4 linked regions of the Lonchura striata genome follow. The protein of the gene in region 1 binds, or shares a complex with, the protein of each later gene. Links are inferred from orthologs where the notes say so. Each region holds a gene or a part of one and is shown in the gene's direction. Other genes may lie near its edges. The genes, in order: STX7, VAMP7, BET1L and VTI1B.

The links.
Region 2: STX7 (region 1) and VAMP7 share a complex: the UniProt entries of both Homo sapiens proteins name them as parts of the SNARE complex. The link is inferred for Lonchura striata from reciprocal best matches to the Homo sapiens genes STX7 and VAMP7.
Region 3: STX7 (region 1) and BET1L share a complex: the UniProt entries of both Homo sapiens proteins name them as parts of the SNARE complex. The link is inferred for Lonchura striata from reciprocal best matches to the Homo sapiens genes STX7 and BET1L.
Region 4: STX7 (region 1) and VTI1B share a complex: the UniProt entries of both Homo sapiens proteins name them as parts of the SNARE complex. The link is inferred for Lonchura striata from reciprocal best matches to the Homo sapiens genes STX7 and VTI1B.

The regions. Positions count from the first base shown.
Region 1 is NC_134605.1:59,343,934-59,350,887, forward strand, and holds the start of STX7 (syntaxin-7), read left to right. Parts: upstream 1-3,940; 5' UTR 3,941-4,028; intron 4,029-6,954. UniProt on the Homo sapiens protein: May be involved in protein trafficking from the plasma membrane to the early endosome (EE) as well as in homotypic fusion of endocytic organelles. Mediates the endocytic trafficking from early endosomes to late endosomes and lysosomes.
Region 2 is NC_134616.1:15,623,737-15,631,214, forward strand, and holds the start of VAMP7 (vesicle-associated membrane protein 7), read left to right. Parts: upstream 1-4,478; 5' UTR 4,479-4,516; intron 4,517-6,624; exon of another isoform or gene 6,625-6,707; intron 6,708-7,478. Other genes in the region: endothelin receptor type B, read left to right, coding at 149-298; DNA-directed RNA polymerases I and III subunit RPAC2, read right to left, coding at 1,540-1,587, 2,183-2,265, 2,581-2,657, 3,616-3,713, 4,310-4,339. UniProt on the Homo sapiens protein: Involved in the targeting and/or fusion of transport vesicles to their target membrane during transport of proteins from the early endosome to the lysosome. Required for heterotypic fusion of late endosomes with lysosomes and homotypic lysosomal fusion.
Region 3 is NC_134608.1:53,233,001-53,240,945, reverse strand, and holds the start of BET1L (BET1-like protein), read left to right. Parts: upstream 1-4,941; 5' UTR 4,942-4,968; coding exon 4,969-4,987; intron 4,988-5,652; coding exon 5,653-5,744; intron 5,745-6,422; coding exon 6,423-6,479; intron 6,480-6,697; coding exon 6,698-6,865; 3' UTR 6,866-7,945. Other genes in the region: RIC8A (chaperone Ric-8A), read right to left, coding at 957-1,004, 3,247-3,330. UniProt on the Homo sapiens protein: Vesicle SNARE required for targeting and fusion of retrograde transport vesicles with the Golgi complex. Required for the integrity of the Golgi complex.
Region 4 is NC_134608.1:32,868,442-32,876,403, forward strand, and holds the start of VTI1B (vesicle transport through interaction with t-SNAREs homolog 1B), read left to right. Parts: upstream 1-4,948; 5' UTR 4,949-4,986; coding exon 4,987-5,101; intron 5,102-7,962. Other genes in the region: retinol dehydrogenase 12, read right to left, coding at 1,534-1,743, 2,199-2,303, 2,586-2,741, 3,549-3,667, 4,297-4,376. UniProt on the Homo sapiens protein: V-SNARE that mediates vesicle transport pathways through interactions with t-SNAREs on the target membrane. These interactions are proposed to mediate aspects of the specificity of vesicle trafficking and to promote fusion of the lipid bilayers.

The DNA.
Region 1 (6,954 bases):
GCTAAACTGCCAGCTGAATTATGGAGAAAGGGAGAAGCAGAACCCAGAGTACTGATGCGTACAGTAGCAATGGCAGAGTAGGTAAGTAAGGAGGAAATATTGTTAAAATTCTGGAAGTAGCCAAGATTCTTGATTTTCTGAAAATTAATTTTGGAAAAACCACTAAACAACATTTTCCTCACCTTTATAGCTGTCCTGTGTCCTCTTACCTTTGATATCTGGTTGGTTTACCTAGACAAATTCTGTCAGGATCCCTTTGTGTAAGTTTCTTCTTTTATTTTGCATGGTTCCCAAAAGTAATTAAGGTCATTATGAATTGCAAATTAAGAGGAGGACAAAGATGATGATGAACTGTAAAATAATGACTATTGATTGCTTAACAATGACCTCATTTTCCAAATGAAGATTATTGGATTCTATCGGAGCTAGTTGCTGAACTTGCAGTCGATATATTCTTTTAATATTTTTTCTTCTGTAGGTTTGTATTTCTATATCTGAACAAAGCAATGCTCTTTCATTTTATGCCTTTTATAAATGCTTATTGTTTCAAAATGGTCTGTCTGAAGTTAGAGAAATTATGTATTTTCAGGTACTACTTAATTAAACATCGGGCTTTGAAATATTAATGTCAGCTCATTTCACTACTGCAGATGAAAGCATAACATGTCTTTGAAAATTAAATTCCTAGGCAAAGAAAGATTTGAAAATAAGTTGGTAGTGAATTTTTTTTATTATTTTTAGGAAACATTATCAATATTGTGAATAGATCTCTGTTTATTTAAAACATATGCTACTATGTTCATTACTGTTGCTGGAGAGAAAGTGCCAGCCTAAATAACATGCAAATGGTCAATGCTTTTTTTTTTTTTAATTTAATAGAGATATTTTACAGGTCATTCTGCAGTATAATTAAACCATAAATCTATTCAAGCTGTAAACCATCATCCATCATAATTATGTACAGGCCTGGGTATAATGGGAACTTAATCTCATTTCAGGTTCTGGAGTGGATATTTTGATTAAGTTAGCAAACAGAGATGACAACGATAATAACAGGAATTCTTGCTGATGGTGGAATGTGTCAGTAATAACTGCCTGGGAAGCTCTGCCAGACTCTTTGTTAAATACTGAAAACATTACTCTTCCTATGTAAAGCCAGAGGTGCACAAATGAGATGTGATAGCAGAGAATGAAATTGGCGCCTACAGTAAATTACACACCGCTTAGGCACTGCTCATGCCTTGGAAAGAGGACACTCATCAGGAACGTAAGGCCAGGGCTGGGCTGCTCCCCTTCATTTCATCATGCATTGTGCTGGCCCAGGGAGCTGCATGGAAATGAGTGCCTCATTTCTGTGTCACTGGTGGCCCTGGAGCTTGTGCCACCCACACTGCCAGGCCTGTGTGTCTTCTCATTAGGGGCCAGGGCAGGAGCAGGAGGTGGGAGGTAGAAATACAGTCAGGAAGGTGGGTCCTGATTTGGATGCTGGGCCAGGAGGAAGGTGTGCTTTTTCAAAATCACACCATTCTGGTGTGGTTTAAGTTCCATCTCTTTCAGATGTTATATACCATACTGGGATATATATATACAGGACATCCTTTCATTTTTGTTTTATACACATGAAAAGAATATAAATGGCAAACACTCTGACCTTCAGTCAGTAAATATCCAGAGCATCTTCCATGGTATGTAGTGACTATACATAGAAGGGACTCAGCATTTCCTCTTTTCTTTGCTCAGAGCTTTCTCAATTTAATTCAGTCATTTGAAATCTGATTATGTTCCACACGAAACAGGAGAGATAGGTGAATGATGATTCTTAATTCAACCCCCAGGTAATGCTGATGTGAGAACTCTAGAGATGAGCCAATGAAATGCATCAGCATTTCTGATAACATTTAGGCATGGCTTCTTTACAACCCCTGTTTATGCATGATTGCTAGAATAAGAAACTGAAGAAATCTTCTCGTTTTATTTTAAAGGGTGAAACAGGGCATGTTCTCCCACTCAATGGCTTTTCTATAGGAGTTAACAAAAATATTCTAAGGGCATACCATGCTATTAGCAGTTCTGATCAATAAATATGATCAATAGTCTAGTAACTGTACATTTATAATTATTTTATAATTCTATTACAAAGGCTATTTAGGTATTTTTATAGTACAAAAATTTCATTGAGAAGCTTATTTTATAATCCATTTTTCCCTCTCAGGCTTTTATATTATTCTTCAACTGGTTACTTTAAATAATCATATGACTTTGAGATATTTAACAGCAAAATGTCGACATTTATGATGTGACCTAGCAGCAGGATTTTCTTCATGAAGCACACAGCTTCACTAGAAAAGTATTTGGATACCTTGTGTCTATAGAATGAGAATGAGCATTGATCAGCAGTGACTGGGTCTTACCTCTAAGCCTAAAAAAAAGTACTTGAGTGGTGGCCTGCAGGAAAAGTATTCTCACTGATGAAGGATCATTTTTGCAAGGGGAAGTACATTTTTGAAATCATAAAGTAAAAGATGTTCTGTCTTTTGGAGGAAAACTGGCAGTGATCTCTGCTGAAGTTTTATAAAGCAGGAGTGACTGAGTCAATCAATGGAGTTTATATAAATCAAGTCAGGCGCTTAATTTGGAAGGAATGTGCATAATACTCTCATTAGTGCACCATCTAGTGGGATTTTGGAGAAAACACCCACACATGTAGCAATGCTAAAATAATCACTAATAAAATAGCCTGGTAAAAATAGATTGATGATGTATACAGCATTTCTTCAGCAAAAAAGCATATCAGAATGGCTTTTTTCCTTAGTAACTTTAATCCATGAAAGTGATAAAATGACACTTCCAACCATCAATTACTGTAAGAACTCTACATAGGCCCATACAAGTGTCGGAGTCTATATTGTCTCTGTTTTCAGCATGCTTTGAGATCCAACGAGAACCACCCATGTAAGGTAAAGGGTAGTCTTGCCTATTTCAGGCCTTTAACTTAACACTCCGTTGTGTTTGCAGTTTATTAGACTTCTCTGTTATTATTGGGTTAAAATGCCTAATATATTTTTCACTGCTTCAGCTATTTCTAAATCTTAGCAATGACCAGGTTCTATGATGAAGCAGAATTAAACTTGCACTTCCCAGTTTCTGCAGCTTTTCCTCGGGTGAAGCTGGTCAGTGTGGAGGAGGCGGCATTCCCAGCAATCGGGTGCCACGGGCTGTTCGCTAAGTGCTATTTAATACACACGGGGGTATCCTGCAGACGAAGCAGCTCAGCCCCAGGGCTCTGGGGAGCGTTTGGCCCTGTCATTGTCCCTTTGAAGAAGTGGGGGAAATGCCTCAAATGCTGTGTAGGGAGCCTGGAGGCTCCTCTGTCACTTCTCAGGTAGCTGGGCCAGGAGGAGCCCCCGTGCTGTGGCTATCGTATCCTCTTTGTCCTCCCGAGCCTGGTGAACGTGTGAACGCATCCTTCTTCGTGCTCCTGGCTTCCCCTGCCCCCACTCCCAGCTGTATGGTTTGTATCTCTGCATTCAAAGGCATCTTTGAAGAGATCTACAATTTACCACGCACTCATTTTGAAGAGTCTATTCCCCTTTAGAGAAGAAATAACCCAAGCGGAAGGCAGGGCGGGCAAACCAGTCTATTAACAATGTAACGTCGTATTTTATCACGGTAATATTGTATCCTTGACCATGTTTTAGCCTTGCTTCCTGATGCAACAGCATCTTTTCCCTGAGTGACACTCTCTCCACCCTTCACTCTCGCTTTTTCCAGTCACACAGGGCTGCGGCTGCCGGGGCTGCCCCGTTCCCCTCGGCAGCCCCCGGGCCCGTCAGCAAGTATCCCCCCGCAGGCCGGGCGGAGCCGCCCGCCGGGGACGGCCCGGCCCCGCTCCGCAGCCGCCCGGGCGGAGCCGCGCCTCCCCGGCTCCCGTCACGGCGGGGCGGGCCGGGCCGGGGCCTGCCCGCCGCTCCCCGCCCTGCTCCGCCCCCGGCCCCGGCCGCACCCGGGAGCGCGTTCGCCGGGGCCGGGTGAGAGCCGCGGGAGCTCCGCTGGGGAGCCGGGGCGGTGTCCGGCGGGCCGGGAAGGCGCTGTCAGGCGCGGGGAGCCGGCCGCAGGGCGGCGGGAAGGGCCTCGCTGGAGCCGGGGCCGCGCCGCCCTGCCCGGCCGTGGGGCGAGCGGGGCGGCTCGGGCGAGGCGGGGCCGGGGCCGCGGGGGGAGCGCGGTGTTGGTGTGGGAGCGCGGTGTTGGTGTGGGAGCGCGGTGTTTGTTAGAGCCCGGTGTTTGTTTGTCGGAGCGCGGTCGGCCGTGTCAGCACCAGCTCCTTTCCCCGCACCCTTCCCTGTGACACCCACAGGACCAGAGCTTTGGGCTTGGCGATGCTCTCGGGGGACGGTCGGGGCCTGCAGCAGGTGTTTTATAGAGCTGGTGTGGAACTGTAGGGTGCATTTCCACCCTCGCCTTGTGGAAATGCTCCCCTCGCTGTTCCAGGTCCGAGATGAGCGGAAGGGACGCGATAAAAGTGGCCGATGTCAGTAGAGAGCCCGGGCCTGGCGCGCCAGCTCCTGGCCCGAAGTTATCGCTGTTGTCCTGGTGAATCACTCGGCTCTGCATCAGAAATGGGCGCTTCTTCAAACTCAGCAAGTCAGCGGAGGGTTTCACTCCCTTTTGCTTTCAGTGCAGGGCACTACATCTTAATTGAAGATGCCCGGTGTTAAAATCTCAGGATACTTGGCCAGTAGCTATGTGCTCCCGTGCTGTGATCCCCTCCACAAGCCGTCCAAAGGCAGAGAGGGCTGTGCCAGCAGGGCGAGTGGAGCCCTCCTGACGTGTCGATATACAAGCTTGTGCTTTGCCGGCAGTGCAGCCCCTCTGCTCAGAGTCTGGGGATTGTGCAATTGCTCTTAATGGAAAAGAAGGAAAAGGGGACCAAAAAAAGAGTTAAAATATGTCAAAATTAGGAGAAAGTAGTGCTAAATCGTGGCATTGTTATAACCTGTGTCCATGTTTGCCTCATGACAATGCCTTTTGTAGTCATTGGAAGAATATGAGGTAGCGCTCTTCTTGGTGGCTTACACAGAACTGAAACTCCCAAGAGAGAAGAAAAGAGACCATGAGCTATATGTAGTCATTAGCACCCTGGTGGGCCTCAGAGAGACTTGGCATGCTGTGCAATCAGGTTTTGTACAAAGGTAACTTGTTCCTTGGTGCGCTTGATCTGTTCACTTGGTAGCAAACAAGCTACCATGATGGAGAATTGGGTGAGAGCAAACAGCACACCAGATATATCTGGCTTCTCATCCATCTTCTTTTTCCCGTGAGATATTGTTTGCCTACCAGCTGCACAAGAAACTGGGAACTTGGAAATGGTCATCAGGTCCATTTTCAGACTTCCCATTCCCTCTCTTCCCCCATAGTTCCAGTCCCCAGTGTTCATTTTCCTATTCTTTGCTTCATCGTGAGGCTTTTAAATGCCTTATGTGCTCCTAGGAAACATAATTCTCTTACTTAAGGCATTTTGCCAAGCACTAATATGTTCTTAAGCTTGTGAAAGCTATGCACTTCCTTCACCTAGTTCATCATAAATATCAGTGTGGATGAATCAGACAATTGTAAGCATGTTAATTTTTATCCATATATGCTGAGTGTTGGTGATGCGTTAGGCCTAATAGAATTTCAGGCTTATGTAATTTAGTTTTTAATGCTGAGCAGTTTAAATGTTGCTGCTTTAAACTGCATCTTTGTTCAACAGAAGTATTTTTAGGAAAAATGACTAAAACACTCATCAATGTTACAATCTAATAACATAGAGCTGTTAGATGATGCAAGCTTGGTTTTGGTAGGTGTCAGCATCAGTAACATGGCAAGGCTAAGGGAATTCTGCAGAGTAGGTCGGCAGTTCCCTTTTGACTTCTCTGCTGTTAGTTTTGATGCAGTTTTAAATTTTGCTTTTTCCTACCATGTATGGATTTAAGTTTGACTTCTACCTGAAAGTAGAGGATAAAAAAATAATCTGGAAACTTTTCTTTTAAGAAAGCAAGAAGAATCTAATTTTACTGCTACTTTGTTTGCTTATTTGTTATCCTCCACAGTTGATTTTGTATTATGGGAGCTTACAGCCTTCCTGTGGATCAGAACTTCAGCAAATTATAAGCTGTAAAAGCAGAAAGTGGGAAATGTAATATCAGTCTCTAATATTTTAGCTTAAGTATAAAGGAAAAAAAGACACAACTCCAGAAAAGAATTAAACCTCCCTCGTCCCTAGCAAAAATAATGACTGATTTAATGCTCACCTGTATTTACTAAGTCAGTTGCTAAGAGTCTCTTATGAGAATCCCTCAGTTGCTGTAGCAGGAGGTCTTAGTTTTTCTGTAGCAAACATTGTGACTTGCTGAAATTTCACCCAAGTTTTTCAGCAGTTCATCACTTTTGCCTGTATTTTCACCCTGCTTAAAGAATTTTGCACTTTTTTTTTTTTTAGGGAGGGATAGTTTATAAAGGAAGCCACATATTGTTTAGGAGAAGCTTTGTTACTGTGACCTTTGATTAGGAAAAAAATATCCTGTAAGGAAAGCCCAATGACTTGTTTCTGGATACTTAAAGGCATAAAATCAGATCAGGTTACAATTTTCAAGTGTTCTATGGAATTCAGTATGTACTTTTTGCTTTCTGAAAATTAAGGGTCCATGTAAACATTTTAGGTCCTAATGCTATAATATTGCTCAAGCAGAAAAACTATGGCTTAAGGGTTCTTACCCTAATGTACCTGGGCTAGATTTATGGGAGAAGGAGAATTCTTTGAATATCTAAATGAGAAAATACAGACTAGATTAGGTGCTTATTAACTGTACCTGACTGCAGTCTGCTAAATTATCATGTGACTGTTGTGAAATCTGACATGTGCAGTGCTTGTCACACCACTTCATTTTGTCCTGATGGAGCTTTCAGGAATGACAA
Region 2 (7,478 bases), on another chromosome or scaffold:
ACCTGCTCCCAGCAAAATGCAGGACAGCAGTGCTCAGCAATTCCCAGCCTGGCACTGTTCAGGGACACCTGCTGGCACGATGTGGGAATATTTCCTCCTCTTTTCCCATATCCCACGTGTGTGACCTCTCCCTCTTGTGTCTCCCCAGTCCTGCCTGTGCTGCTGGTGCCAGAGGCCAGCCCTGAGCATCACCCCCACGGACGAGAAGGGATCTGTTGGGAAGTGGAAAGCCACGGGGCAGGAGCTGGGGCTGGACCGGAGCAGCTCCCGCCTGAGCAACAAGTACAGCTCTTCCTAAATCCCTGCCACTGTCCAGGACACGGCACAAGGACAGCAGGACCCCTCTGATCCTCTCCCAGGCTCTTCCTGGCTGGGCCTGAATCAGCTTTGCCTTTGTGTCCTAACCCAACTGGAAGGAGCTGGGGCATTCCCCAGGACCACCTCCAAGCCCAGCTCCTGGCCCCAGCGGTCACCCCTGCAGGAGAGGGAAGGACATTCACATCCTCACAGGACTTTTCATTTCCTTCCAGGAAAACCAAAGGACTTCTGGCCACTGCCTCGGGGTGGAACGTGGGGTGGAGGGATGCGTGTGGGAAGGGAAGGAATGTTGGGGTGAGGAGAAGAGGGAGAGTGACAATTCCCAGCTGTAAAAGCCAAGCAAAGCCTGTGAGGGACAGAGATGTCCTCGTGGTCATGTGGAGGTGGGAAAGGCAGTGGAGAAGATTCAATCTCAGCTGGAAGAGCCACTAGAACCAAGTAAAATATGGGAAAGGGCTCTCTGGAATTTATTATTGGCAGTAATTCATCCCCCAGGTGATTTGCCAGCAGTTTTCAAGGCCAGGTTGGACAGGGCTTGGAGCACCCTGGGATAGGGAAGGAGTCCTTGCCCATGGCAGGGGTGGGAGGAGAGGGAGTGGGAGTCCCTCCCAACCCAAACCAGTCTGTGAATCCATGTGATTCCATTCTAAGTTCTTGCCAAAACTTTCAGAAAATCTACATGAAAAAGCTGTATTTATCAGGTTTTTGACGATTTTTTGTTGGCTTTCCTACATCTCTCTTTTCCCTCTCTCTCTTTTCCTTCTTTTCCCCTTCTACCTTGTCACAGAAAAAAAAGGGAGAGAGGAAAAGGGGAGAAGAGATGAGACCTGCAATTAAAACATTTTCCAGGTGTTGGGATGGACTTGTAGCTTAACTGTCACTGAAATGTAAATGTTTTACAAATAAATCATGAAGACAAATGGGTTTGAGGAAAACAGACTGAGGAATATCAAGACCAGCCCATTTTCCCAATCTGTGGTGCAGAAATTTTCCCAAATATCCCCAATCGGTGGAGCAATCTGTCTCCACGTTCTATAACTTTCCATCCCTGTGCTGAGCAGAACACTTAATGAGCTCTGCAGTATCTAAATTAATAAACTTTTTATTATTAAAGAAAATACAATTTGCAACAAAGTCATAAAAAAACCCAACAAAAACGACCTTGTTTGGACACAGGGAATTCAACACACAAAGGTTACACATCCATGCCACTCCCAAAGGCTACTGCATCTCCTCCTCCTTCTGTGCCCTGAACTCCTTCATGCTCCTCTGAAACAAAAGCAAAGAACAAGTGTCACCAACATGCCCCTGGGGTGGCACAGAGCCACCACCCTGCTGTGCTGGGACTGCTCTGGCTGGAGCCTGGAAAGGCTGGGAAGCTCTGACAGAGCTCCAGGTGGTTTTTCTGGAAGTGACTGAACTTTACAGTCACTCCAAGGGAAAGGGAGCCAGGCCATGCCACAGACCAGGCAGAGCCTGGCCAAAAAAACTCCCAGGTTTTCCTGCCAAAGGTGTCTCCAATACAGGCCTCAGTTTCCCATTCTGGGAACAAGGGACAGAGCTGACCCTGAGCTCTGCAGGAATGGCCCAAGGGACAGAACTGACCCTGAGCTCTGCAGGAATGGCCCAAGGGACAGAACTGACCCTGAGCTCCCCAGGAATGACCCAAGGGACAGAGCTGACCCTGAGCTCCCCAGGAATGACCCAAGGGACAGAGCTGACCCTGAGCTCCCCAGGAATGACCCAAGGGACAGAACTGACCCTGAGCTCCCCAGGAATGACCCAAGGGACAGAACTGACCCTGAGCTCCCCAGGAATGGCCCAAGGGACAGAACTGACCCTGAGCTCTCCAGGAATGTCTCACCTCAAAGGTGTTGAGCACGTGTTGGCACACACCCATCAGGTCATTCAGCCCCTTCCGGAATGGCTCCACAGCAGGAAGGGCCCCTTCGGGAAAAGATGGGAAAAGGTGGATTAGGGACAAGGGGGGTGGCTTCTCAAGGGCAGTCCTTGCCTTCCCAGGGGTGTGCCCCCTCCCCAGCCCTACAGCTTGCAGTGCCAGGGATGCTGCTTCCAACTGCAGCTGGAGCAGAATTCTGGGAGCAGCCTCTGAGGCTCAGCAAAGGGGCTCAGCACTGTGCCTGGCAGAGGGCAGGGAGAAAGGGCTTTCCTTTATTTCACAGACTCCTGGGAAGCTGGCCTGAGCAGGGGGAGTTCCATGAGAACAGGGCCCCAGGCACAGAGGGCCAGCCCCAGCCTCACCTCTGGTCTGGATCCTGAAGTTGATCTTGCTTTCCGAGGGGTGTGTGATGCAGTAGCCACAGAACTCCACGTTAGGGCTGCAGGAGGGCAGAGGGGAGAGGGAGCAGTGAGACCCAGCCAATCCACAGCAAATCCCAGGGAATTAGAGGCTCAGGGCACACCAGGCCTGCTGGGGCTCTGGATGTTTCTAGAATGACTATGGGGAGGGATGTGCTGAGGGGAAACTCCCTGTGTGTCCTGGTTCCCTCACACCCATCTCTCTCTGAGCTGAGCTGGAGCTCTACAGGGCAAAGACACAGCTGGCACCGTGCTGGCACCACAACCAGAGCAGTGCCAGCTCTGCAGATCCAAACATGGGGTCCTGGATACTTGCAATTCTCTCTGTAACCAAACCTGCTGCTGCTCTGCTGGGTGGAATAGGTCCAGGGCACTGGAGGAGTTCCCAAAATGTTGCAGAGCCTCTCCTGCACCTGAGCTGAGTGCTGGAACTTTGCCCTCAGCTTCGGCCACCAGCTTCTTTTATGTTGCCACAGTGATTTATCAGAGGGACCTTAAAGGCCACCCAGTCCCAGTCCCAGTCCTGCCATGGCCAGGGACACCTTCCACTATCCCAGGGTGCTCCAAGCCCCAGTGTCCAACCTGGCCTGGGACACTGCCAGGGATGGGAAATCCACAGCCCCTCTGGACAGCAAATGGAGTCCAGGACTCAGTTACTCCTCCAGCAGCTCAGGAGGGACTGAAAGCCCTGGGCTGAGCTTAACTTGGGTTCCTGGGCAAGGGGAGGGTGTGGGTGGAGGCTCAGGAGAGGCTGGTCAGGCCCTTTGAGGGCTGTTGGTGCTCTCAGGGTCCTGGCATGGCACAAGGAAAAGGAGGAGCAGCAGGTGGGAGCAGGGCTCCGTGTCTGACACAAAGGCTGGAAGGGCGAGCACAGAGGGGATTTGGGATCGTTTGCCTCATCCCAGGGACAGCTGAGGTGTGGATCAGGAAGGAGAAGGCCAGAGCAGGGCAGGGAGGTTCCTCAGAGGCCCCACTCACTTCTTCATGACCATGTAGCGCAGGGAGTTGCCCAGGGTGTGATCCTCGTCGTGCAGCACGAACGTGATGCAGTTCCCGTCCGTCCCATCCGCCTGGATCTGTCACCAGTGCGAGAGGAGAGAAGCTGTGACCTCCCTGAGGTGGGGGACCTGAAGGGACAGGATCAGCTCCCGTGCTCAGCTTCCCAGAGTAGCTGGGAGGGTTATAGATCTCACTGAGCCACCTCTGCTGCTGCTGTGGGACCAAAACACCTTCAGGGAGGAGGGAAAGCTCCAAAATTCCACCTAGTTTTAAACCAGTCCTGACCTCCACTTGCTGCTGTTCACCACAGCATGACAGAGTGCCCCTTGGAGCCATCCTGACACCATCTGCCCTGATGCCAATGCCACCCTACAACTAAGCCAAGCTCGGGAATGACAGAACCACGGGAGCACGGAATCGCTGAGGCTGGAAAAACCCTCCGAGATCCCGGAGCACAGCACTGCCGGGGCCAGCCCAACCCACGTCCCCAGGGCTGCAAACCCCTGCAGGATTTAAAGCACTCCTGCCCGGCAGGCCAGCCCTGTCCGTGGAGGAATTTCCGCTAAGTTCCAGCCTGACCCTCCCCGGCACAACGCGAGGCCGCTTTCCCTCAGGAGCGGGGCCCCGCTCCGGCTCCCGGCCGCGACCCCAGCCCGCCCCCGCCGCCGCTCACGGTTTCCAGCGCGGGCCCGCTGCCGGCCATGGCGGCTCGGCGCTCCCGGCGGCCCCGCGGCCGGAAACGCGTCGGGCCGGGCCGGGCGGGGCCGAGCGGGGCCGGCGGGGCCCGGGAGCGCCGGTGAGCGCGGGGCCGGGCCGGGCCGGGCCGGGCCGGGCGGGGCCGGGCGGGGCCGAGCGGGGCCGGCGGGGCCCGGGAGCGCCGGTGAGCGCGGGGCCGCGCCGGGCCGGGCCGGGCCGGGCCGGGGGTCGGTGCGGGGCCGGCGGGAGGAGGCCGCGCTCGGCGCAGGCACGGGGGGCACGGCGGGGTGGCCGCGCTTACCGGGGCTCACCGGGCTGTATCGGGCTGTATCGGCGGGTGATGGGAGAGCTGCTGTGGCCTGGTGCGCTACTGATGGGTACTGGTGCGCTACTGATGGGTACTGGTGCGCTACTGATGTACTGGGGTGTAATTAGGGTGTTAGTGGCCTGTTACCGGGGGTGTTACCTGCGCGTTGCTGGTGGGTTATTGCCGTGTTACCGGGATGTTATTGGTTTGTGATTTGCTGTATTACTGGGATGTTATTGGTGTGTTATTTGTTATATTACCGGGATGTTATTGGTGGGTTATTGCCGTGTTACTGGGATGTTATTAGTGTGTTAATTGCTGTATTACTGGGATGTTATTGGTGTGTTATTGGGGTGTTACTGGTGGGTTATTGCCATGTTACTGGGATGTTATTGGTGGGTTATTGCCGTGTTACTGGGATGTTATTGGTGGGTTACTGCCGTGTTACTGGGATGTTATTAGTGTGTTAATTGCTGTATTACTGGGATGTTATTGGTGTGTTATTGGGGTGTTACTGGTGGGTTATTGCCGTGTTACTGGGATGTTATTGGTGTGTTATTTGGCATATTACTGGGGTGTTGCTGGTGGGTTATTGCCGTGTTACTGAGATGTTATTGGTGTGTTATTTTCTGTATTACTGGGATGTTATTGGTGTGTTATTTGCTATATTACTGGGGTGTTATTAGTGTGTTCTTGCTGTGTTAGTGGGGTGTTGCTGGTGGGTTATCGCTGTGTTACCGAGATGCTATTGATGTGTTATTTTCTGTATTACTGGGATGTTACTGGTGGGTTATTGCCGTGTTACTGGGATGTTATCGCTGTGTTACTGGTGTGTTATTAGTGTACTAGTGGCCTGTTACCAGGGATGTTACTGGGATATTACCGCAGTATTACTGGGGTTATAGCACTGTGTTACTGGCCTGTTACCGGGGATGTTACTGGGATATCACCACGGTATTACTGGGGTTGTATCACTGTGTTACTGGGTTGTTATTACCATGTTACTGGCCTGTTATCAGGGCTGTTACCAGTATGTTGTTGGGATGTTTTTAGTGTGTTAGTGGGGTGTTGCTTAGTGTGTTACTGGCTTGTTACTCGGGTGTTACCCATGTATTACCTATTATTGAGGTGTTACTAGTGTGTTACTGGTGTGTCTGGGAGTGGACGGTGTTGCGGATGTAGCACTGCATGGCTTAATTAGTTAATTAATTAAGCACAGGTGTGCTGGCAGGGGGTGCAGGGAGGCTGGAGGGAGTTGGGCTCTGCTCCCAGGGAACAGTGACAGGATGGCAGGATGTGCCATGGAGGTTTAGGTGGGATATTGGGAACATTCTGGCCTGGACAGGGCTGTCCAGCCCGGGCCCAGGGCAGGGGTGGAGTGCCTGTCCCTGCAGGGATTTGAAGCCGGCTGGAGGTGGCACTTGGGGACATAGTGTGGCTTTGGCATTGCTGGGAAATGGTTGTGCTCGATGCTCTTGGAGGGATTTTCCAACCTCAGCAATTCCCTGATTCCATGCTTTGGGCTGCATGTGTTCCCTTGTTAGAGAGCTGCTTACTCAATCACCGTTGTGTTGTGGGTCCTTACCCTCCTCCAACCCTGCAATGCTGCTTCCAGGAAACGTGATGGGGCTGGAAGACCACGTGGATTCATTTCCTTGGTGATTTGGCATCCGTAGGGATGCAGTGGGGGAACCTGAATTAAACTGTGTGCAAAAGGGAGGCTGAAATTGGGATAAGTTGAAGCACAAATGGCACAAATCTCAGGTTCAAAATGAACAGGAGAGCCCCAGGACTTCATGGTGGAATGTTCTGTAATGAAATAATGATTTTTCCAACTGCCCAGCAGAGGTTAAAGGGAAGCCTGGGCTGCTTTCTGCTGAGCTCACCCTGCTCAAACGATCTCTTTATTGCAGCAGTTTGCAACTCACTGAGTTGCAACACCTCCCCTTGTTCCGCGGTGCCCTTTGCTTTCTGTTAGGAGGATTTCTGGAAGTGCAGGCAGGGACTTTCCACTGCTCACTGGCACTGAGCTGGGAATCTTTTGGGCCAGAAGAGTTGCTGGAAAACGGTAAATCACCCCTACAGGAGTTTTAAACATCATGCTGAGACTGAGCCTGTGTTTCTGATGTTCCTTAAGAGGTTTTTTGGTGCCTTTTTTCCATGCCTATGTATTGGGAAATGGGAATTGTTCCCTGGGAGGGTGGGCAGGCCTTGGCACAGGTGCCCAGAGCAGCTGTGGCTGCCCCTGGATCCCTGGCAGTGTCTCAGGACAGGTTGGACACTGGGGCTGGAGCAGCCTGGGACAGTGGGAGGTGTCCCTGCCATGGCAAGGGTGGCACTGGGTGGGCTCTGAGGTCTCTCTTACCCAAACCCTTCTGTGTTTCTGGGATCCTTCAGTTCAGTCCCCAGAGGGACCTCAGACAGCAGCTCATGCATCTTGCATTGTCTTTTTGGAAGGTTTGGTCTTGGCTGCTTCCAGCTGTGTAACATTGTAAGTTTAGATAGAAAAATGCTCTGCAGAGGGGTTGATTCACAGGGATTTCATTCTCCTGTAACTGCTGAGGAAGGACGTTCTGTGGCAGTTTAGCAGATTTGTGATACTAACAGGAGTAACACAGGCTGGTACAAAAAATATTCCTGGTTAATCTGTTGCTGCAGCTGGTGTTGCTGCCAGGCACAGAACTCCTGTGTCCTGAGCACAGCAAGGGCCAGGAATTTGGGGAGTCAGGACTGTGAACTTGGGAGATGAGGCCTGTGAATCCGGGGAAGTGAGAGCCAGGAACTCAGGGAATTGAGGGCTGGGGGATCCTGCAGTGCCAGCGAGTGCCACCTCACTCTG
Region 3 (7,945 bases), on another chromosome or scaffold:
CAAAATCACATCCTGGGGAAATGATGAAGTACAGCTCTTCTCCTGCCTCACAGGGAAACAGAATTTCAGATACAGTCCCAGCAACCAAAGCCTCAGGCTGGTTCAGGGGAAAGAGATCTCAGGGTGTGTGCCTGAAGCTGAACCATCTGTAAACTCAAGCACCAGGAACTAGTGGTGTTGTTCATCTCATATTTCATGGCATACATCCCAAAAGTGGGACACTGTGCCTGAAGCCATGTCCTGTGTGACTGTGCCAGCTCACACAGTGGGTCAGTGCAAGGCAAAGAGCTCAGATCTCATCAGATCCAGTCCCACATTTCAGGCTGTGCCTGGAACACTCCATGTGGCAGCAGCTGGCCCTGGCACAGCCAAAGGAGGTCCAACTCTCCACCCCGGTCGCCTGGCCCGCACTTGCTGTGCTAACACAGACATTGGCACCACCCACCAGTGAACTGACCACAGAACTGAGCCAGCTGGAAAATAACCCAGGGAAAACAGTTATTCTTATGGCAGAACAGCCAGGCAGGAGCAGGAATGAGCAGGCAGAGTCTTCCTTCCCTCCAAGTGCCAGATTACACCAGCTCAAAGGATTTGCTAATACACAGCTCCTGGCAAATCCCACTGCTGGCTCCCAACAGAGCCCCTCACCCTCCCCCGGAGCCAGCACTGCTGTGATTCCTGTCCGGAGGCATCAGAGATCACATCCATGACTGGGACTATATGGATCATGGAACCATTGCTAGTGTCAGATGGATGCCAATCTTTATCCAAAACCACCAAATACTGATGGAAAAAGCAGAGCCAGACAGTCCAAGCACATAATTCCCCAACCAAGTGAATGGAAAACTTTCAGTTCTTCTCATGTGGGAGCTGCTTGCCAAGCCCAGCTGGACATGAGTACAGAGCAGCAGATTTACACACTGACCAGAGGAGGACAGCAAGCAGCATGTGCCTACCTTCCTCTCTTCCCGCTCCTCATCCTCAAAGATGAAGCACTGAGATTTCTATGGGAAAAACAAAATCAATCAGAAAGAGGAATAGGTTAAAACTCCATGGGACCAGAGAAGAGCCATTCAGCTGGAAAGCAGCAAGTCCAAAACATGCTGCAACAGCAAACAAACCATCTCCTGACAGTCCCCCACATCATGGGCATCACCCCTGGCTCCACAGCACCAGTGGAATGCCACAGGCCAGCTGACAGATGGATTTAGTTTAAATACTGCAGCAGCACAGTGGCTATTCATCCCAATCCCAATATCCTATAAGAGCCGGTAATTCCTGTGCTCAGTGATACCACTGAGCTGTGCCTACACGTCTCCCCTTGATATTTATTATTCCTTTTCCTGACCAAAAGAAGTCTTGTCTCCTTGGTACATGGGAATGGATCCTCGTGGTTATCCAGGTCATTCTTTAAACACAAAGGACTTGATCTCCACACTCCATCCTGTCCCCATGCTAACAAACACTCCTGATCTCCACTCATTGTGTTTCTCTTGCTATTTTGTTTGTTCTTCACTGACAGTCTCCTTCCTGACCAAACCTGCTCCCATGGAACTGGAGATCACAGGTGCCTGGGGAGAAGCAGCACCTCCCAGTGACTGAGGCAATCCTTGTTCATACCAAGAGAGTGTTTGATCCCAGCTTGGAGAACAAAAACATTTAAAATCCATAAAACACTGATTATGTGTGTGCAGTCACCAAAAGCCCAGGGATAGAATGGGCTCTGTCCAGCCTGGAAGCAGTGATAGACACAGTTGCCTGGAGCAGCCCCAGGTGTGGGGGCAGGACAGGTGTACTCCAGCCAGGCTGAGTGTGGGCTCCATGAGCTGATCCATCCACACTACCAGGAGCTGATGGCCCAGTCCTGCCACTGCCGTGTTCCACAAGCAGGCTGCTTGTTCCCTCAGCACATCCTCTTTTCAGGCTGTAATCCCATTTGGGGGTATTTTGGCCACACCTGGGGTTTTGCTTTAGCTGTAGCATATTCCCAGCAAGCAAAAACTGCATGCACAACAGTGAATTAAAAACAAATCCAGAGGAAAAGCGTACAGAACCATTAGTCTTGCAGCAGAAGCAATGCCAGGCAGTGCCAGGTTTATCTGCAGATTCATAATCCTCTTTGACTGCTCCATTTCCTCCAGACAGGCCAGCAAACCCTGTGGCTGCAGTTCCCTAGGCTCAATACCCCAGGAAGGACCCAGCTGGGGGACTCCAACAGGAAATATCATGGTTTGGGGGCACACAGACACTGTTTGCACCTGCTGCTGGTGCTGTTAATCCTTAGTGCTGTCCTTAACAGACACCTGCTCCTTCTTGGCCAATATCTCCCCGTTCCAAATCTGACTGTTAGGAATAGCTCCACACACTCCCTCTCTCACACACTCTTGCAAAATATTCCTCAGGTTTTCCCTGCTGGCTTCCACCTACTCCAGCCTGGTGCAGAGTGAGTCAGAGTGATCCACAGGGCCAGCCCCTCTCAGGGGAAACCTCCGAGTTTCTCTGACAACTAGAGTCTGTTTCAAACAGGATTTCACAGAGCCATAGAATATCCTGAGCTGTAAGGAACCCACACAATCCATTCAGTCCAGCTCCTGGCTCTGCCCAGACACCACAACAATCCTACCCTGTGTCTGAGAGCACTGTCCAAATGCTCCTGGAGCTCTGGCAGCCTTGGGGCTGTGCCCATTCCCTGGGGAGCCTGTTCAGTGCCCAAACATCCTCTGGGGGAAGAACTTTTTCCTAATATAAAACCTAAACATCTCCAGCTGTTCCCTTGGGTCCTGTTACTGCTCAGAGAGCAGACACTGGAGCTGCCCCTCCACTGCCCCTCAGGAGGAAGATGTAAATGGCTGAGGTCTCCCCTCAGTCTCCTTTCTCCAAGCAGAGATTTACCACCACGGATTATCTTTTCCTACTTTAAGGCTAGAAACACTTCCATCTCTGCTTCCAGATCATTGGGGTTTGATATTCTACATTCTACATTCATTATTTACTGCTTTCAGAGCCATGCCCATATGAGATCCCAGCAGTTACCTCCAATCATCTTTTGACTTGCAAATCCCAACATCGTTTCACCTGCAGCCCCTCCCTGGATTCTCTCAGCACCTCCAAAACTACCTTAACATAAAAGCTCCTCCTACTCAGTCCTCACCCTGACTCTTATTTCCAGGCCAGGCTTTACTTGGGATCTTGATAATCATTTTTTTAGGAGTTCCTGAGATGAGGGAAGCGTTGATGCTCACTCACCTCTTGGTTGTAGACCTGGAGCACCTTGAGAACCGTGTCCTGCTCCCCACTTTCCAGCGTGGACACCACAGCCTGGAGCTCCATTATCCCAACAGCTCAGCTATGGCACAGCCCCAGAAGAAGAGGAGCAAGGGGATTTCCAGGGTGATGGAAAAGCAGCTCGGCACACAGACCTCTGAGAGGGAAGAGAGAAAGGGGTGGAGAGAGCAAGGAGGGAAAAAACACAACACAAAAAAATCCCAAGTGATATTGCTCACACTGCTGCATCCATAAAAGTGGAGCAGATGGATAACCCGAGCAAAGCCAGCAGCCAACTTCCTCTCTCTCTCTCCTGCTAATCCTCTTCTTCCTCGCTTTGCTTTTCAATGTTTAATATATGCCCTCGCAGGAAAGCACTCAGGGAAAACCTTCCCCCCACCAGCTGGAGATTAACGTGGAGCAGATAACAGCAGCTCCCTGAAATAGCTCCCTGCCTCCTCCTCCTCCTCCTCCTCCTCCTCCCCGCCTGCCCTGATTTCTGCTGCCGCACAGGGGGAAAATAACAAATAAAGCACGAAACATTGCCGCGGAGTGACAAGGGACGGAGCGGCGAGGCAGCCAGGCGGGAGAGCATCCTCCGGCTGCAGGCGGTGGGAAGCAGAGCAGGAGGGTTTGGTGGCGGGCTGGATCATGGCCGATCCCTGCAGGCCACCGCCGGGCGAGGATGTCCCTGCCGACAGTGCCAGCCAGCAGATGCGCAGCACCGCGGGATTATTTCGGACACGGCACCGGTTTAGCGGCTCACGGAGCCACGCGAGCCCAGGGCGCTGGGACATGATTCCCATGGGGGGAAATCCAGCAGATTTGAGCTCGGACATGTGTTCGGCTTCCGTGTTGCCATGAGGATGAGGCTGAGCTGGTCACACCAACCTCAACAAACCGGGATCCCAGGCACAGGGTTCCCGGGGTTTGGGAATCACACGGGCTGTCCCCTCCTGCCCACGCAGCCCCAGAGGGGCGTTTTGGGGGGACCAAAAGAGGCAGATCCTGCATTTTGGAAGGCGGACAGTTGCGGAGACAGGAGGCTGGGCTGGCCCGGGGCAGCATCCCCATGTGCAGGGGCTGGGATGGAGGGGATCCACCTCTGCTTTTGGAGGGATGACATTAACCAACGGATCATTGGGCATATCCCCATTTCCATACTCCTACTGCCACCTCCTTCCCTCACCATCTGAGTAAATTCCAAACCTCCTTTTTTGTCCCCATAACCCCGTTTATATCCCTAAACCCCTACCTTCCCCCCCAAACCTCTATTTTTGTCCCAAGCCCCTATTTCCCCCCAAACCTCTATTTTTATCCCAAGCTCCTATTTTCCCCTTAAACCTCTATTTCCCCACCCCCAAAACCCCTGATTATTTCCCCAAAACTTCTTTTTGCCCCCAGACCCCTATTCTAGTCCCCAAAGCCCTATATTTGTCCCCAACCCCCCGGTTTTTGCCCGCAAGGCGCTGTTTCCTCCCCCAGCCCCTGTCCCGCCGCTGTGCCCGGGCAGGGCGCCGGCCGTACCTGCGGCCCGGGATCCCTCGGGAGGGAATTCCAGCCCTTCCGCCCCGGCCCGGGCGAGCGGCCCGAGGGTCCCGGCGCCGGGGGGCAGGAGGAGGAGGAGGAGGAGGAGGAGGAGGAAGAGCGGGCGGACATTTCGTGGCGGCTCCGCCCGGCGGGGCGGGACGGGCCGGGGCAGCCATGGCGGAGCGGGGCCGAGGTGAGGGGACGAGGGACAGCGACAGGTTTGGGGGGCAGAAGGGGCTGGAGCGGCTCGGAGGGAGGAGGAACTCCCGATCCCACTGAACCCCGCGGGGCGTTTTGCAGTGCCCCGATTTCTCCCCCTATAGCCCGGGAATAACACCCCACCCCCCCCACCGCGTAAGCCCTAATTGCCTCCCTGTGCCTTTTTTGGGGTTCTGGGCTGCCCCCCCGAGCCCCTAATTGCTCCCTCTATCCATTAATTGTCCCCATGAATCCCTAAGCCCCCCCCCCCCATAAACCCTAAATACCTCTTAGAGCCCCCATAGCCCCTAATTGCCCCAGAACTCCTAATCCCCCCCAGCCCCAACCTGCCCCACAATGGGGGCAATGCCGAGAGACCCCAGCACGGCCGAGGGGCAGAGGGCCCCGGGTTTCACCCAAATCTCACCCCTGGATGTCACTGGCCATGGAACCCCCACAGCTGCTGCTGGGCTGGGGTGGCACTTCAGATACCCTGAATTCTGGCTTCTCACCCTGGCCTGTTTGGGGGAAGTCTGTGGTGTTTTGGTCACATTTTCAGAAGGTTCCACTGCACAAAGCATGTGTGGAGGGGCTGTGGTGGGAACAGAGCTGTGCTGTGGCACGGCAGGCATGATGTGTGCTCCTCGTTCTTCTCCCCAGGGCAGAGCCCGAGCGCCATGGAGGACCTGCTGGATGTGGAGAACAAGCGGATGGCCGACAGCCTGGCCAGCAAGGTCACCAGGCTGAAGTCGGTGAGTGCCGAGGTCACAGCAGGTGTTGAGGTGAAGGACAGGCTCTGATTACCTGGGAGTCCTGCAGGGGATCACAGAACCATGGAAAGGTTTGGGTTGGACAGGACCTTAAGGCTCATCCAGTCCCACCCCTTCCCATGGACAGGAACACTTTCCACTAGACCAGGTTGCTCCAAGCCCTGCCTAACCTGAACACAGGAGTGTTGCTAAGCTCACATCCTTGGGGAAAAATTAATGGAAAAAAGGCAGGCAGATTAATTTTGGAAAATACCTGTGTCTCTGTGTAACTGTTCTTAATGCTGGTTTGCTCCTATTAACATCAAACACTTTGATTTAGAGCTTTAAGCTCTAAATTATTATTAAAAGTGTAGTACAAACCATGAAAGAAGTTGATGACTCACTGTGTAAAAGGGCAAGCTGAATTCCTGCCATTGTGTCCCAGGGTTTAAACTACCTTCTCTAGCTGGCAGATTTAGACAGCCAGGCTTTATTTTCAGAGCTGAAAAAGTTCACCTGACAGGGAAATGCCATTTTCCTTGTTCCTGCACCAGACAAGCCCCTGTGTGTCTGTTGGAGCTGGGAAAGCAGCAGCTTGTTTTAATAATTTGCATTTCAGATTTTAGAGGTTCTCTGGACATTAAAAGCTCATTAATGCCCATTTCCTGCCTTGCCCTGCAGCTGGCTCTGGATATTGACAAGGATGCTGAGGAACAGAACCGCTACCTGGATGGCATGGTAAGGACCTGGCAAACGGGACACGGGGCTTTCTGTGCAAATCAGGGAATTGGGATGAGAGGTGGGACGGCAAAAGCCCTTAAGGAAGAAGCCCTAAATCAGCACTGGGATTGTTGGGGTGTCCTGTGCTGTTGGAGCTGGACTGGCTCATTGTGAGTCCCTACAACTTGGGAAGTTCTATGATCCTGCAATGCCTCCAAGGTGTCTCCTCCCACCAGGACTCGGATTTCCTGAGCGTGACAGGGCTGCTGACGGGCAGCGTGAAGCGCTTCTCCGGCATGGCGCGCTCCGGCCGCGACAACCGCCGCCTGCTCCTCACCGTGTCCGCGGTGCTCGTCCTCATCTTCTTCATCCTCTACTACCTGGTGTCCCGGGCGGGGACCTGAGCCCGGGCTGGCAGGTGGCACAGGCCAGACCTCACCATCCACAGACCTGGCCACATGTTTTCCAGAGGAGCCTCCAGCCACACCTCCACCTTCCCAGTGACTTCTCCTTCCAGCTTGTCAGCGCTCCGGCTGGGCCCAGGCAGCTCTTCCAAAACAAGTTTGGCTCCAAAGGGATCTTCGTGTCTGTCAGGATTTTGGGGTCATGGCTCTGGCCGTGACCTCCTGCCTTGTCTCCATCCCGTGGGCTGTTTCTAAGGGCCACTTCCACATGACCTCCCTCGATCAAAACCAGGAACTAACAAATCCAGGGACTTGTGGATACTCCATAACCCAGCTGAGCTTTGCGAGCTGTAGGATTTAGGATGCTGACTTAGGGGATTTGGGAGTACCAATGTGTGACTTACATTCCGTGTGGCCACTCTCCATTTCCCTTGGACTTGCAGACCATATCCCTGGGCTGAAAGGAAACTGTGAAAGGAAACTTGTGCATTGCTAATCCGGGTGGAATTAGCAATGGATCTGGGCCTGGATACTCTCACATTGTAGCAGGGAAGAGATGCAGGAGAGCGGGACTTTCATTAAATCCTGGCTTGGTTGTCTTTATCATCCTTGTGGGCAAACCAGGCTGGACCCTCTGGGAAGGGAGGGCCACAGTCCATAACCACATGGATTTGCACTTGTGTGGAACCTTCCAGAACCTTCCCACACATGTGCAAATTAAGTTACTAAATCAGGGTAAAGAATACCGGTGGCAGAAGGTCCAGTTAACTGTGGTTAACGTGGCATCCTGCTTTTAGAGCACTTTGGGGAGATGTAGTGCCAATAAAGTGAGGTGGAACTCCCCCCGCAGTGCTCTTGGGAGTGGGGGGATCCAAGGAGGGATTTGCTGTTTTGTTTATGCATTTAGAGAGTACAAAAGGAACCCCTGCTTTACCTTGGAGGGTGTGTTTGCTTATTTGCTTCTCTTTTCCTGTAACAGGCAGGGCTCAGCCATTCCTTCTCCTCTGATTTAGACTCTCCAGCAAACCCTCTTCATGGATGGATGGCTGGGTGTTCCTTTGCTTTCTCCCTGTTCCCAGT
Region 4 (7,962 bases), on another chromosome or scaffold:
AGAGGCCAGTGGGTATCAGTGCACATGCATTTGGAACACCCATCAGTAGCACATGGCTTTTCCAATACTCTTTTATCCAGGAACAAATAAGGTTGTGGATGCACTGAGTCTCATGTACCTTTCCCACGGTATGTAATTTGAATACAAGCCAACCACTCCATTCTGTAAATATTACAGCCTAATTAAGCCTTCTCTGAGCTCTCCCTGCTAGGCAATATGACTGCAGGGTGACAGTCTTCACTTGAGCTGGCTCACCTCTCAAGGCTGCTCCTCAAGGCAGAGAGCTTTTACCAACAGCAAATCTTTGGATGAGTCCAGCTGAACCTCAGCTCAGACTGCAACTGGACTGCACAGCAGGTTAACTCTCCCCTGGAGCAGAAGCACCTCTCAAGGTTTGAGATTTCTTACCTGAGACTGAGAGCCTTCCTTAAGCAAGGCAGAGAGGCCCTTTGCTTGCAATAAATCCTTGGTAAAGACTGCTGAATTAATATTGAGGAAACATTACTAGTCCATGTAGCTGCTCAGTAATAATTACAGAAACTTGGTATACATATAAATCGTCCAAATCTGAGACTCAAACTGGACATAGGCTCCCTAAGGAGTTTAAAAAGCATGGGGCTCCATGCTGAGCCTCACGATTCATCAGGAGGGTCTTCCTTACACAGTGTGTTTCCAGTCCTGTGTGAATCATTCTAATTTAATTCTAAATCAGTTTTCCTTTGCATGTGTCTTCCACGTAAATAATAGACTGAACCTTGCCATCATACTTTAAGTCACCCTCTTATGACATCAGGTTAAAACCACTTTTGCTAATACCTTTGATGGCGATTCTTGAAGCAGTTTAAATCACTCATCCATGGCACTGGATGAGGAGCATCCCCTGCTCCCTTCTAAACACAGGAGTCATTATGTGCCTTCTGCAAAACAAAGTGCTAGAGGGTCTGAGTGCTAAACCAGCAGCAGTTTCCAGCAGGCTTTTGAGAACACCTGCCTCTTTTGACTTACTCTAATAGTAATTTCCTGGGGAAGACACTACTTCTGTTGTAGTAAATCAGTATTACTTAAGTTTATGAACAGGACTGAATGACACGACTGTGACAGATGTTGTGACTTGCAAGGTACTATCTAATCTTATGCTTGTTCTACGGGCCACCACCATTTAAGGCAGCTGAGTGTGCATTAGCTTTTCTATTGGAGACTGCAGTTGTGGCTGTTTTCAGCTTCCATCCACATACTACAATTGTCTCTGTGGATGCAGCTAGTTTTTGACAAACACCAAAGAACAATGAGATACATTCAACTGTGCCAAGCTACTAAACTCTACCCTGTTGCTGTAGAGACAATCTGTGTTGTAAGTCTACTGGTTCCACAGACAGGAGATATTTTCTTCCTGCAAAGAGCTCTCAGTGACATTTGCCTCAAACCATTCAATTTCTGCATAGACAATTTGCAGCTCTTTCTTCAATCCAGTCTCCCCATCATGGTGCTCAGAAAGCCAAGCAGATAAACACCCCACCTGCCCCCGGGACTTGCCTTGCAGCCGCCTGGCCAGCTCCCGGGTGAAGAGCACGTTTGCCAGTTTGCTGTGACAGTAGGCAAGGCCACGATTGTAGCTCTTCTCACCATGGAGATCATGGAAGCGGATTCGGCCTCCGTGGTGAGCCAGCGAGGACACGTTCACGATGCGGGCTGGGGCAGACTGCTTCAGACGCTCCAGCAAGAGGAAAGTCAAGAGAAAGTGACCTAGGGGGGAGACGAAAGGTCATCCTTCTAGAAAGGGTTCCCCTGCTTGCTTCTACGTGGTACCTTACTGCTGTCCTCATTTCAAGTCCAGGAAAAAGAAAATTTCTGTTAAATTCCCCTGAATTGACATCTACACTTTTTTTGGGGCCTTCAGGTTCTGCTCTTCATCTTCAAAAAGCTGTAGCCATCATACATTTCAAAATGTCCCAGGTAACACATACAGATCCACAATGCACAAACACATCACATTGCATCTCCAGAATTCTGACTCTGACCCTCCATCATCCCAGTAAAAGGAAGAATGAGGAAGAGAAAATCCAAAAGGATTTTCCTTTGGCATTTTGCTATAGATATCGATGTTAGAAGAAGATGATCTTTAAGGGCAATTCCAACCCAAATCACTTGACGATTCTATGGTTCCATATTCAGTGCAAACATGATTCCACTAGCCTTACCAAGATGATTGACTCCCAGATGCATCTCAAAGCCATCAGCAGTCTTGGAGTAAGGGCATAACATTACCCCAGCATTATTAATGAGAATATGGAGTTCCTTCTCCTCTGCAAGAAACAACAAATATCTTTAAACAAGGAAACAGAGAATGCAGACAAGAAGGTAGTACAACTCACCCCTTGTTGTCTGACTTGCAGCCACATCACCTTAAAAAAAGGATATATCTCCTACCACAAACTAGCTCATGGCCTTTGACCAGCCCCTGCTATGAACCACAGTACCCAAGAGGTACAGAGACAAGCAGGACAGGGCTTTGGCAATGGTTAGAAGAACAGACAGCAGTCCTTAGTAAAATACTCCCACTAAAAATAAGAATCTAGAGACTCTACCTGCTAGAAATCTCTCAGCAAACTCCCGGATGGACTTCGTATCAGCCAAGTCCAGTTTTTTCACAATAACTTGCTGGTTCCCTGTCTCAGCTCGGATTTCATTGGCTGCAGCTTCTGCCTTTGCTGTGTCTCTGCAGGCAATAATTACCCTTGCACCTGCAAGGAGGGGAGGGGGGAACAACAGGAACATAAGATGAGATCACTGGAGCACACTGGATGATCAAGGCTATGGCAAGCAGGCTGACCATGCCCAGCAATTACAAACAATATACTGTTTCTTTAGGGAACTAGCATCAGTCAGGGGGATGGCTGGAAGGGACAAAGCTTTCCCCACTCAAGTGTGAGCTACAGTCCTGCTGAAAGATGATTTCAGACTAGGCAAATACACATCTTAAGTGCCTCTGTCCATGTTCTCCCAGGTCAGGAATGCATACAACACTGGTATGATAGCATTGTATCTGCCCCTATAATGGGAACATCAAGCCAGGAGCACATAAAGGTCATGGATTCCAGCCAGAGTAATTTCTAAATGGATTGTGAACAGGTAGTTTAATCTTCTTACTAGTTAGCCAAATAACATTTGCATCAAATTAGCTTGAAACATGAATAACTAAAGCACATAGTGGTGGACCTATGGCATTTCTCAGCTTCCTACAAGCAGAATCCAGGAACTTCCCCAGTCCCCTTCAATCAGTTGCAATGCAACGCATTTTTATGTCCCCAAGGCACATTTTTGGAGTCCAAGCAATGAAAAGTTCCCAGTTAAGGAACTGGAAACCTGCACTTCAGTGGTTACAGCCTCGGAAGGAACAGCACTTGGGCTCATCTGCAGTAACTCTGGAATCCAGTTTACTTCAATATAAGCCTACAACACCTCTTCCTTAGGTCCAGAAAAGGGGCTACTGGCACAAGGTACAGCCACTCCGGCTGCAGAGGCATACGTGCTGACAAGACTGCACTTGCCTCTTTTTGCGAGGTCTCTGGCGGTCTCCTTCCCGATGCCTGTGTTGGCTCCCGTGATTATCACCACCTTCCCCTCCAACCTTGCTGTCGACTTACACCGTCCTCCAGCGACATACCGCCTGCAAGAGGGGAGGCACCAGTCACCTCTGCCTGCTCAGCATGCCCCGTCCGGGGTTGAGCACCCAGAACCTGGGTTCGCATCAATTTTCGGGCTCACCCCAGGGAGCCACGGGCGCCCTCGCCTGAAGCGGCTGGTCACGGCCCTGTCGCGATCGGGACACCGGGAACGCGCCCCACCCCCGATCCCCCGCGCTTTCCCGACGCGGCCCCGCCCCATCCGTGCGTCAAGTGGAGCCACGGCTCCCATTGGCTGCTGCCGCGCGCCTCGAGGCCTTTTGGCCAATGGGCTTCGCCGCAGCGCCCTGAGGAGAACGCGGGCCCCGCCCCCTGCCGCGCCGCCGCGAGCGCGCCGGCGCCCGGAGGGAGCCCGGGGAAAGCACCGGCGGTGCCAGGGCCGAGCGAGCCCCGGGAAAGCCCCGGCAGCGCGGCTGTGTCGCCGGGGCGCTGGAGCGGGCAGGCCTGAATAACTCCGACCCCAGCGCGGGATTCCCGCTGTTCGCACTCCCGCCGCACTCACACAGACACACACGCAAGAAACGCGAAGCGCGCCAGCTCCGCGCCCCAACGGGCGCCGCCCTGCGGGGCGGAACACACGCGAAGGGCAGGGGCTGCGCTCGGTAAGACGCACCTGATGTAGGGCGCTGCCACGAAAAGAAAGACGGGCACGGAGACGGCGGCGCCCAGCGCGGCTTCCCAGCAGCTGAGCATCCCTGCCGCCAGCTACCCGCGCACCGCCAGCGCACGGCTCCGGCAGCCCGCGCCCCTCCCTTTCGGATCCGCCTCCGCCCCGCCCGCTTGGCCTCGCCCACACCCGTACCGCCACACCTCCGCACGCACCGCGCCCCCGCCGGCCCTGCCCGCAGGTACGCGGGCGGCCCGCTGCTTTTTGCCCCGGAACCACAGTACTCCGACCTGGGTCCCGCGAAACATTCTGAAACGCAGTCCGCAATTAAGGAGCGAGAAATGTCTCCAGGGACAGCGCAGTGGCGGCTGTCGGCAGTGGCGTTTGAAGCACATTTTTACAACCCCACGCCGAGGCTCATGTCATGAACCCTGGCAAGGAGCGTGCACCGATGTGCACGTGGGCAGGCGTCCAGGCCTGGGGGCAGCGCGGCGGCGGCGGGTCACGCCGGTACCGGGGAGCCCCGGGGCCGCACCGGCGCTGCCGGCCCGGGGCGCTCCGTGGCGGCGGCGGACGAGCGCCCCCGCGGGGTGCGGGCACGGCCGCCTCCCCGGGACTACAGCTCCCAGCAGGCAGTGCGCGAGGCGGCCCCGGCGGCGGAAGCGCCTGCCGGGGCAGGGCCGGGGGCGCGGGGCCATGGCGGGCCGCGGGGCCGCGTCCTCGGAGCAGCTGGAGCGGCTGCACGAGATCTTCCGCGGGCTGCACGGAGACCTGCGGGGCGTCCCCGAGCGGCTGCGGGGCAGTGCGGCCGGTGAGGCGGGCAGGGGGAGTGGGCGTTCCTCGAGGCACGGGCGGGGCCGCCGCGGCCGGCTGCGGGGCTGTGGCGGGAGCGTTCGGGTGCTTCTCGTCAGACAGGCGCGTTTGAGCAGCGGGGAGGGCAGCGTCCCGTCAGGACTCTGTGTGGGGGGCTTTGCGGTTCTAGGGGCTGGGGACGTCGCTCCTGGTAGGCGCTCGCTGGGAGGAGGCGGGTGGCGCTGCCCTGTGTCGTTCTCAGCTGCTGCCATGTCCTGGTGGCCTTGCAGGTGTGTGGCTTCGCTCCACTGGAGCTCCTCGGCTCTGGCAAATTTCAACTCCGCTGGCAAGCGCTGCCGTGCTAGGCTCACGGCATCCGTCTCTGAGGAGGAGCCCTTCTTTGGACGCTCTTTCATGCTGTTTCTGTTTGAACTGGAGTATAGCCTGGAGAACAGGAGGCTCAGGGGTGACCCCCTCACTCTCCACACCACTGAAAGGAGGCTGCAGCCGTGGGGCTCGGCCTCTTCTCGCAGGCAACCAGTGACAGGACAAGGGGACACAGACCTGAGCTGCACCAGGAGAGGTTAAAGTTGGACATTAGGAAGAATTTCTTCACAGAAAGCATGATTAGACATTGGAATGAGCTGCCCAGGGAGGTGGTGGAGTTTAAGGAGGTGTTTAAGGAAAGACTGGATGTGGCACTCAGTGCCATGGTCCAGTTGACAGCGTAATGTTAGGTCAGGTTGGACTCAATGACTGCAAAGGTCTTTTCCAGCTAAATTGATTCTATAACAACTGCAGTGCTTTGGGGGTTTGGGGTTCTTGTCCCCCCTTTTTTTAATTTGCTATGTTGGATTCACAATTAAAACCTCATTGGCAGAAATAGAAGCAGTTTTTATTGGCAGAACTTCCCAGAAACGTCTGTAGATTTGTTGGAGAATGTTTGCATTTGAAATGATTGTTTTAAAAGTCTGGTTTATGCAGTATGTACTCAGAAAATATTGAAAACCTATCACTCTAGCCACACTAAGTTGTATTAGAAGCACAACCTGTTTTCACCGGTATTCTTTATAGCACACCACTGGTAACATGCTCTCACAGAGCAGTCCTCTGTAAGGATCTGTGCTTCTGATGCAATCTTGATACTTGGCAGCGTTCTGAGAACCAGAAAGGGAAGCAATGTGACAAGGAGAATTTTGCCAGTGTCACTGAATGCCTCTGATTGAACCCTTCCTATGGGAAATGTAATCTGTGGCTGTTACGAGCTGCTGTAGTTCAGCTCAGGTTTTCTACCCCAGTGATGAGCAAGGACTGTCAGTCACGTTCTCCTGCAGTGTTCATTCTCCCGCAATTGATCAGTTTTGTGTAAAATCATAAGAACACTTTGTTCAGAACATACCAGTCTGCACTAGATAACACAGAGCACGAAGGGCTCTGTTTCTTACCTGACTTTCTGTTTAATGAGTTAAGTTCAGGGTCACAGTCCTTGGCATCAGCATTTTCAGGAAGTTTGGTACAAGAAAGGTGTTGAAACCCACAAATGACAATTTGCAAACCTGACTTAATTTCACTAGTGGTCAACAAGGATAAAAAGCTTAAAAGAAGCAATATGTTTTCTGGTAGAAATCCTTATTTCTCTATAGAAATGAGCATGATCAGTTTCTTGGTGAAGTGAAACCAAGTCTGCTTGACACTGTGGTAGTTATGAGCAGTGAATTCTGAGATGTGGGTTTAAATGGAGTATTTACAGGCAACTATTTTTGTGATACTTGGGATTTTTTTTTCAAGAGATTGCAAATAATTGCACATTGACTTTTTTAGACAAGCTACAGAATTTTAAGACAACTGTTCTATTCTTTACTTTTTTTTTTTTTTTTTCCTGCAAAAATCTTGGCACTATCTTTTAAAGTGTTTCTAAGAGAGTTTAAGATTTAGGAATTTGTCATTCCACTGTCCTGATGTTCGTTCTTTGCTTCTTGTACTTAGGAGGAGGGGAGTATATATTAATTTTTTGAGTTATTTGATCCCAAAATATTCAGAAGGTGATAAAAGAGACCTTGGAATACTCTTTTAAGGCAATTCACATGCTCCAAGAGCAACACAGAACCTATAGTCCTTGGGATGTCTTTGAGGGGCAGAGGTTTGGAAATGCTGTTTCATTCTATATAAACAAGATGACAAATTCCTAATTCTAGAAACACCCTTTTTTTCCCCATCCAAATTGGTAAGAAGGGGAAGCAGCCTGGATAAGTTTAAAATAATGTATTTTCCTCTCCATGAATTCACTTAGCTATACTTTCCAACTGAATCTCTTTCTAAGTGTCTGGAAATAAGTTAGTTTAATGTTGATGAGCATGTGGGTGATGCTGCTGTGGCACAGGCACTGCTGCTGCATTTTAGAGTTCTGTCCTTGTGCTTTGAGTTGTGGTTCAATGCAGAGCGACACCAAGTGAATCTCTCGGTATATTTTGGTGTTTCTGGATACCAGCCAGATACAGCAGAATGTTTTCAAGCCACATTGCTGGATTTCTTGTTAGCCTGTAGACAAAAAGGTCTCAAGCTGCTTGGTTTACCTAAACCATTCCATGATTCTATGCCTTTTGGAAGCTGGCATTTCTTTGGCTGCCAGCTTATAAGTGCAGCATCTTATTATTCTGAATAGGAGAAATAAAGCAAGGAAATGCTGCATTTCCAGATCTCTGATGGGTTTCCATTACTTTGAGACAACAAAGTGGGTTTAAGAGGGCACTGCTTGAATCAGATTAGTGAAATAACCTGAATGAAACAAATTACTGACTTCCAAAGGCTGTTTTTCCAGAGTTCATGTCCATGGTTTCATTTGTAACCCAGCTACACAAACAATGGCATCAGCACAAATGT